Ovis aries: one gene and its partner. The protein of the gene in region 1 purifies or fractionates together with the protein of each later gene. This does not show direct contact. Links are inferred from orthologs where the notes say so. Each region holds a gene or a part of one and is shown in the gene's direction. Other genes may lie near its edges. The genes, in order: ASB2 and RNF7.

Evidence for each region.
Region 2: the proteins of ASB2 (region 1) and RNF7 purify together in Homo sapiens (affinity purification with western blotting; 3 studies listed by BioGRID and IntAct, with this or other methods). This does not show direct contact. The link is inferred for Ovis aries from reciprocal best matches to the Homo sapiens genes ASB2 and RNF7.

The regions. Positions count from the first base shown.
Region 1 is NC_056071.1:56,362,087-56,366,644, reverse strand, and holds the start of ASB2 (ankyrin repeat and SOCS box protein 2), read left to right. Parts: upstream 1-1,727; 5' UTR 1,728-1,853; intron 1,854-4,558. UniProt on the Homo sapiens protein: Substrate-recognition component of a SCF-like ECS (Elongin-Cullin-SOCS-box protein) E3 ubiquitin-protein ligase complex which mediates the ubiquitination and subsequent proteasomal degradation of target proteins.
Region 2 is NC_056054.1:247,817,321-247,821,853, reverse strand, and holds the start of RNF7 (RING-box protein 2), read left to right. Parts: upstream 1-1,571; 5' UTR 1,572-1,600; coding exon 1,601-1,775; intron 1,776-4,533. UniProt on the Homo sapiens protein: Catalytic component of multiple cullin-5-RING E3 ubiquitin-protein ligase complexes (ECS complexes), which mediate the ubiquitination and subsequent proteasomal degradation of target proteins.

The DNA.
Region 1 (4,558 bases):
CTGTGAAATGGGGGTAATTATAGCATTTGCTGCAAGAGTTGTCCGGGTGCAGCCAGAAGACATTGTCATACATGAGTCAAAGTGTGTCTGGCCAGCCCCCTCCCATTGCTGGCCACACTCAATGCACTTTCTGTTCCCTGTGATGCTTGACCCACAATTCGGGCTCTTAATTTTCAAAAGCTGAGTGCAAGCACAGGCAACAGGATTTGGAGACCGAGTTTCTCCAGCTTTCTTCTCTATGAGGTTTGTCTGGACTAGGAGGGAGGGGCAAGACAGAGGGCCACCTGAGAAGGGGCCCTGTCCCTGCCCACAGCCCAGTCCTCCCAGGCAGGCCAGATCTGGGATCTGTGACATAGAAAGCAGTGGTATCTGTGCCCTTAATCTGGCAGGGATCCCAAGGAAGAAGTAGGACTCCAAGGACACACTCCATGGAACCTGCTAGAACTTCTTCCTGCCAAGAAAAATCCCCAAACAGTAAAAAGCCCTGGACAGCCCCCTCTCCCCTTGCATCCCTATCATGGCACATGGCCTAGGGGTGCTATGTGTGAACTGACCTTTCGGGGTCATCAGCCACAGTGGCCTGGAGGGACTGTCCCAAGTGAGGGTGAGGCTAGTAGCTGGGAGACAGCCTGGGACTCATCATCCCCTCCTGTCCTCAGCCCCAGGTCAGCCTCTAGAACACTGACCCGACTACAGGGCTCCCTGAACTCACTAAGACTAATTTCCAGACGGAATATGCAAAGTGAGCCACTCTGTGGGGTCGCAAGTCCAATATCCTGCAAGGGGAAGTGATCTCTGAAATGGAAATTATTTTCCATTTAGAGGAGTGGACCAAGTGACATTTCCAGCTTCCCCGACTCCGTAACCTGAGATCTGAGCGCAGACATGGGCATGTGGGTGCCTGGCATCGTGCATGCTCAGGGCGTGTGCCCGTATGTGTGCAGTCTTTGCCACCCGAGGCTAACATTTTGGGCTACTCCATCGAGTCCAGAAGCAGAGAATTTCTTCCCTGGGCCTGAAGGAAGGGCTCCACTGCCGCTGCCCGGGGCTTGCCCACAGGCTTATTTGTTCATCTGTTCCCCTGCCCACCCCACAGACTCCAGCAGCTGGATTCCCACCCTGGGACCCCCAAATATCAGGCTCTGCCACCTGCTACTCACAAAGGCCCCAGCAGTGAACCGCGCATCCTCGCTTCCCTCTTGCTCAGCCCTTCTTCCTCCCTGCCTTCCAGCCTGCTCTCAGTCTCCCTCCGTCCCCTCTTCCTTCCCAGCCTCCCCGACTCCCCTCCTTCCTCCTCTCTTCTCTCCATCCTTTCTTCCCGCTTTTCTGCTTTTCTCTCTCTTCTCTTCCCTTCTCCTCTCTCCCACAATTCCCTCCTTGCTCTTGCTTCCAGCTTTCTCTCCCAGCTCTGTGTCTTACTCTCTGCATCTCTCTCCTCTCTCGCTCCCTCCTGGGGAGTTCCAGAAACATACCCATATATGGCCTCCGTGTCAAGGATCAGAAGTGATGACGTCACGGGAGAGCCAAAGCTCCGAGATGCTCTCCGAAGTCAAGTCCGTAATTGACGCGGCCTGGAGGAGACCAGGATCGTGGCTTCCTCGGTGCAATCTTTAAACAGGAAATCTGAGATTCATAACATCTTATAGTTTGGCTTGCCATCATTGGTCATGCGATGGGCCCGAAATAAACTCCCTGCTTCAAAGGAGAGCGTTTCAGAACTGCCTGGCAGAGCAGTCAGAAGCCCAGGGCCAGGGCTGAAGGCAAACTCAGGGAGCACGTTCTGAATTAAGACACTCTCAGGAAAAATCCTTTTTCTTACCCTTGAATTTTACCCTTGTTTCAGAGCCTAACAGGTAATGCATGCTTTCAACTTTCTTATGCAGAAAGACTGCTTGTCGGGCTGGGACTTAACCGCTGTGGTGTCAAAGTATGTTTGTGTGTCTCCCTCTTTCTCCTATTCTCTTGAGTTATTAAAGCAGGCTGGTGACTTTTATTTTGGATTGGGGGCACAGAGAATCAGCCGTTTGCATGTACTTGTCCAATCTTCCAGAGGATTCTTGCTCAGAGTATCATTCTACTGTGTACTTCTAAAAATGGCAATGCAAAAGGAGTTATCAATGATGCTATTGTTGGTTCTATAGGCCTTGGGCAATGTCTGTATCAGACAAATGACTTTCAGAAATGCTTTTAGGTTGAAGGAGGAGATATTTTCATGCACGGGGGCATTAATTGCATGTGCCATTTATGGAGTGTCTATGGAACATCTATGTATGGGCAGGATTGTGTGTATGTGTGTGGGGGAGTGGTGGTGGTGATAGCAACCTTGGATGCCACGAGCTGTATTTGCAATAACTTGGCATTTAGGAAAGGAAATAGAATCTGCAAACAAAACTAAGATACCACGTAAAGAATGAAAAAGGGTGTGTGTGTAAACACGAGGACGCATTCAAGGAAGTGCTGGCCCTTGAAAAGATGGATGGATGTCTCAGATGCACGGAGGGTGGGTGGGACAGGGACCTCCAGCTGGAGGATCTGCTCGGGCAAAGGCAGACAAGCTGGGGTGGGTCTGCGGAGATAGTAGGGAGAGCCGTGTGGTTATAGCCAAGGGTCAGGAGGTGAGAAGTAGTGGTGATGCTAGAAGGGGAAGTCAGGAATGGGGGCAGGCGTAGGAGATACTGCTGCCACCAGGCCAGGCAAGAGGATGGAACACATTCTGATCATTTTTGAGCAGAGGAGCAGTGGGGAGGATCTGACTTCAGGCAGCTCCCTGCAAAGCCAGGGGAACGAGGAGGCAGGGAGGCAGAGACCCTTAGGTAAGTCATTAAGGCCTGAGTCAGGTCAGAAGTTGAGCCCCCAGCACAGGATAGAAGAGCTTGCCTCGACAACGGGAAAGTTTATGCACGAGGCAGCCGTTGAGGGAGTTCACAAGCACCCAGGCAGAGCCAGCGGGGCCAGCGCACCAGCCACAGCCCCTGACCTCTGCGGTCTGAGGCCCAGGGCAGAGCACAGTGGGGCAGCCAGGGGCAGACTCCAGTCACTTCTGCAACAGTTGGACAGGTCCCGAGAGCTGATGGCAGGCCTGTTTACAGCACAGCCCCCTCCAGGACTGGCGGCTGCCACCACCTGGCAGCCTTCCAGGTTGCATCATCCATTCTTGCACAAACAGTCCAGCCCACGAGGGCCTGGTAGGAGGGGAGGGCATCACCTTCTTCCTCCTCCTTGGGGTGGGGACCATGTGTGATCCACCCCTGGTGACCTGACAATGAATAAGAGCACTCGTACCTGAGCCTTCACTGAGCATTCACCGTGAGCCAGGTGCTGGCCCAGCGCTTGTGCTAGTTCCTCTCACTGACTCTTCTGGGCAGCACGAATTAGAAATGATGGTCACTCCCATTTCCCAAAGGTGGAAACTGAGGTCCCGAGAGGTTAAGGGTCTCATCTAAAGCCAGAGAGCTAGGAGGTGTTGGAGATGGGACTCAAATGCTGGCCTCTTAGCGGATGGGCCTCCAGTGCCCACAGCCTAAGCCATGGTCTCTGAGGTCCCCCAGGGAACCAGCACTGCAGTAAACAGACCCGTCCTGGCACCAATGAACCATCATAAGGTGCTGTACAATGTGAACAAGCTGAATCCAAAACAGTCTTCCCAAAGGAGGCACAAAAATATCCCTGGACCCGCCCACTGTCCTTCCACTGCTGAGCAGAAGAGGGTCAGGCTTCCTGGTGGGGGCAGCTGTCACAGGACTTGTTTATATCTTTACTTCTCATCCTCAGCACCTTCTTTTGAACCAATTAATGCTTGGGAGTATAAATGAATTGTTAAGAGCTTTGTGGCCGAGGAAAACGTTGTGGGGAGGTGATGGTAGCACTGAACTCATGCTCAGTCGCTCAGTCATGTCTGACTCTTCATGACCCTATGGACGCTATAGCCCCCCAGGTTCCTCTGTTCATGGGATTTTCCATACGGAAGTCAGGTGATTCCTAACCTGCCTGCATTGTTTAAAGAAAAGGAGACAGAAGAGAAGGGTAGAAAAGACAGGAAAAGTAGAGGGAGGAGAAGAAAAAGATTTAAGCAAAGGCAGGAGAACAAGAGCAAGCAAACAAACAGAAACAAAAAGGAGAAGGATCCTAGCTGATTTTGGAGTGATCTAGAATAAAAGATTTCCAGCCAGCCCTGTATGTGGTTAGGCTGGGTGAGGAGAGAGAGAGCTCTGGGAGAGCACCCCTGCACCACCTGAGACTTTCTCTTCTGGAGCCTGGAGTTAGAGCTTCCAGAACATTCTACTACCCATGGGTCAAGATGAGAAAGAGTCCATGTTCTCCGGGTGCCCAGAATAGGGCTGGGCAAGGCCATACTTGGGCTTCCTGGATGGCGCTAGTGGTAAAGAACCTGCCCACCAATGCAGGAGACATGAGACGCGGGTTCGATCCCTGGGTGGGGAAGATCCCCTGAAAGAGGGCTTGGCAACCCGCTGCCTGGAGAATTCCGTGGACAGAGGAGCCTGGTGGGCTATACTCCATAGGGTCGCGAAGAGTAGGACAAGACTGAAGCAACTTAGCA
Region 2 (4,533 bases), on another chromosome or scaffold:
CTGTCTCTGACAGCACTTAATGCACCACCCAACAAACAGCACATGTGGCCAAATGTGACCCTGTGTCCATATTTGTATCGTTACACATTTAATGCCTCCTTGACTCCTCTGCCAGAGTTCTGAAGTTTGGTTAGCCTAGACCCAGGGGCACCAGGCCTGACACCAGGAGATGAGGGAATGATGAGACCCTCATCATTAAAATAAAAAGAGGTGCGAAGCTCTGAGTCCTAATCCTGACACAGCAGGTGGCCACCACTAGGTGGTAGTGTGACCAAGCATCTTCCGGTCTCCATGCCTCAGCTTCGGTATCTTTTAAAAGAAGATGTTATCTGCTTTGCTTGGGAAAACATAACATGACCCTGGGCTAGTAACAGAAGAACCTTAGTTTCCACTGTCACCTTCTCAGAATAGCAGAATTACTTTTCTGAATTACTATAAATTACTTTTATAAATATAGCAGAATTACTATAAATTACTTTTGGGGACTTCAGTATTCCTACACATAAAAAGTTAAACTAGATTTAAGTTTCTTAGAGTGTGGTCTCCAGGGTTCCTGGAAGTCTTTCAGGGGACCAACAAGGTCAAAACTATTTACATATTTACATAACAGTATTCATAGCTCTGAGCTTCCCAGGTAGCTCAGCTGGTAAACAATCCGCCTGTAATGCAGGAGACCCCGGTTGAATTCCTGGGTTGGGAAGATCCCCTGGGGAAGGGAATGGCTACCCACTCCAGTATTCTTGCCTGGAAAATCCTATGGACAGAGAAGCCTGGCGGGCTACATACAGTCCATGGGATCTGCACAGTCGGACACGACTGAGCGACGAAGCACAGCACAGCACTCATAGCTATTTCTCTTCATTCTCTCTTGTGAGTGTACAATATTGGTATTCTAAGGATAACTTGTAATGGATTTCTTACTGTTTTGAAGTGAATTAATATATTCACATTTCCCCCGTTTTCTTAAAAAGGAAATACATATGTATAAGCGTGTATATGTACACATCCATCCTATACAAACAAAAGTTCTTAAATGTCCTTAAGTAATTTTTAAGTGTAAAGGGGTCCCAAGACCAAAATATTTGAGAACTGTTGAACCAGATTCCTAGCTCGTCATTCATTCACTCAACATATAACTGTCCCTCCCGAGACAGCATTTCTTAACGAAGGAGATGATCAAGAAATAGTCCCCCCACCCAAAAAGAAAAAAGAAATAGTCCCCGCTCCCCCCAGGGCGTTTACATTTGAGAAGGACGAATATATCAACAAGACAACGTCTAAAAGCGGTGTCATGAAGACATAAAGCAGGACACGTGTCTCCCCCGCGCAGGGTCGGTCCGGGGTCCCTCACCCCGCTGAGCTGGCCGGGCGTTGGGGACGCGAGTACCGGGAACTAGGACACCGGGAAGCCGCTGGTGCCGGCGTACGGTGACGTCACTGGGCCGCGCCAGCCAATCACGGGCGCCCCACGGTCCTAGACCCCCGCGGCGGCCCGTGGCCTGCGGGCGGCGCTGTGGCCCGTCGGACGGCCCCACTGAGCCGCCATAGCCGCCCGCCTCCCACGACCCAACGTCTCCGTCGCCGGCTCCGCGCCGCCGCTATGGCCGACGTGGAAGACGGTGAGGAACCCTGTGCCCTGTCCTCTCACTCGGGGAGCGCAGGATCCAAGTCGGGCGGTGACAAAATGTTCTCTCTCAAGAAGTGGAACGCGGTGGCCATGTGGAGCTGGGACGTGGAGTGCGATACGTGCGCCATCTGCAGGGTCCAGGTGATGGGTAAGCGCAGCAGGCGAGGCCCCGGCTGTGCTGCGGCCTCCGCAGGCCCGGCTTCGGGCGTGGGGGGAAGGACCAAGCCTTGGAGAGACCGTTCCGGGAGGAGTAGGGGCGGGATCGCCCTGCCCCGGCCCCAGGAGACCGCGGGCCACGCCCGAGCTGGTCGTTCAGCAGGCGACTTGTGCCGGGGACGGGTATTCTGGGGGAATAGGGGGGTAGCAGGCAGGACAGTTAAACAAGGTCATTTCCAGTAGTGATCGGTGTGATCACGACAATAAAAGTAGGTGATTTGACGGGAGCTGGGAGGAACCACTTCGGTTTGTGTGGCCAGCGACCGCACCCTTTTCCGAAAGCAAACCACACAGAGGTCAAGGTCAAGGCCCTGAGTCAGCGGGTCAGTCGGATGGTTCTGGTCACACACCAAAGTGATGCTCTGGAGTCATTTTCCCCCCAAACGGCCGCTAGTCGTGCTCTGGAGAGGCGCAGGGAAGAAGAGTGTTCCTAGCCGTCCCCTTTCTAGATTGGCTACTGTTCTGCTGGCTTTTAAACCTGGATGATTCAAGATTGGTCAGATCGCACTCGGTTGGCTTGAACTAGAAGAATGTAAACCCTTTTATTCAGAGACATGAAGCTTCATCTCTTTACTGGCCACTCCCCATCCTAGCATGCAATTTCTTGGAGAAGGGTAGTGCCCTCAAGTCTGGCCTTTCTGGAAAGCCCTCTTTTGCAAACTTGTTACTTCTTTCTATGATATTTTTAATGAAAATATTGGACCACGTGAAGCCTTTCAGAGCAGCTTCATCTCGTTGTGTTTTATATGGTCTCTGTTTTAAGATCTTAGACGACCTTAAAAAAGAGTTGCTGTTTAAATGCACGTTATATTTTTAAATAGGGCATTTAAAACTACAGCATTTAAGAGTGTCTTAAATGTCATTTCTTGAAGGTAATTGGAGAAAACTGAGGCTTCTGTAGTTTGAAAACTTTGTGTCTTGCACTGAAAAATGAGACAGTTGGAGAAAGTAACTTAAAAGATGCTTTCCCTTCTTGAGCATTGAAAATTTAGACCTACCAGAAACAAGAGATTTCTCAATTTACTCTCTCTGTAGTATGCACTTATGTTTTTTATTCGTAGGAATTTGTTTTAAAGAGAATTTGCAACTATGGGATTCAAATATTTTTTTACTTTTTAAAAGAACTAGATTTCAGATGTGATCGACTTATTTTGTGTATCGGGTTTTTAGGTACTTAGTTTATGGGCCTGCAATACAGCCCCCTTGCCCTAACCCTTTCTTGAAAGCTAGAATCATAACTTCCAGTTTGTGGGATTTTTTTTCTTTTTTAGTTTAAAATAATTTTCCTAAAAGAGCATCTTATTTTTCTCCCCAAAGAAAAATTTTAAATTAGTAGGTAGAAATGCAAAATATAAAATAATGGTTGAAAGTTTGCAAGAAATAAACTTTACTGGGATATTTAAGGTAAGTCAAAGTATGGGCTATAAATGACTCACTTCTCACATTAACTTTCTAATTATAACAAGTATTTGCTACTGTGGATTAATGTTTCATATTTACAACAGCTGTACTTTGGGTTCAGAAAAGTATTCTGGGCTAGACCTCTGTATTGTGTTTATGAGGTGTTAAAATCTATTTGGTGGTCAGGTGACAGCAGAAGGAAGTGTGTTTTCTGGCATCATTCTAAAAGGTGTTACTGTACTCCTTAGAAATGCGCTGTTTTAGATATTAAGAACATCATCAAAGGAAAATGTTTTCTTTTATATGAAACTTTAGGAATTTTTATCTGTTCAGATCAGTTGTTGATAGTGAATCTAAATAAAAGCCGTAGGCATGATTCAGAGACTTCTAGATTCTATAAAAAGCCCACTTAATCCTGTGTCCTTGATATTTGAATTCATCTCATACACCTAAATGATTTGTTATAACTTCTTGATCTAAGAATTGCCAGTCAGCCCATTCTAATGTGGTTAAGACACTCTTCCTTGGTTTCCACTCTGCCGACTTTATTGGGAAAGGAGCTGCTAGCAAGCACCGGTGAGGAAGAGGGGACGAGGTTTGCTTGTATTGTCAAGGGATAAAGAGCCAGAGTAACCTTCCACAGCTATCTGTTAACTTGGACGTTTGACATAACCTTCTGGAGCCTTGTTTTCCTAACTTGTAAAAGAGACAGTTGGGATCCTGAACTTTCTGTGACTGCACAGAACCAGAGGCATGTCTTCCCCCTTATATCATGATCCTTGCGATATTTAACTGTTTACCTATCCACTTTCCCATTTACTGGTGAGACCAGGGACCCAGACTTGGTCATTTTGGTGGCCCCCAGGCATTACTCTTTGCACAGGGTAGGTACTCAGTAACTGTGAAATTGAAGAAAGCCTCAGGAGGCAGTGGTGGTTTTTAATCCACACTGAAGAGGCCAGGGTAGTGTGTTTTTTTTAAGGGTAAGAGCATGCAGAGAGGAGCAAACAAATGCCTGAGCATAATCCAGTGTAAGAAAAGAAGTAGGCTTCAACTCTATCCTGTTTCTATTTTTATAGAATTTTTCTCTAATTTATATTAAAATCTTTTTTTTTTTTCTGTTAGTTTGAACTTCCTTTCACCCAACTTTGACTGCTTTCAGCTAGTGAATGAGTCCATTTCTTTGGTTCCTAAAATATTCTATATTACGTTCTTCAAGCAAATGGTAGTACAGACTGAATTTTGAAAAGTTCTAGTATATCCTTTTGGTTCCCATTCCTCATGTTTAC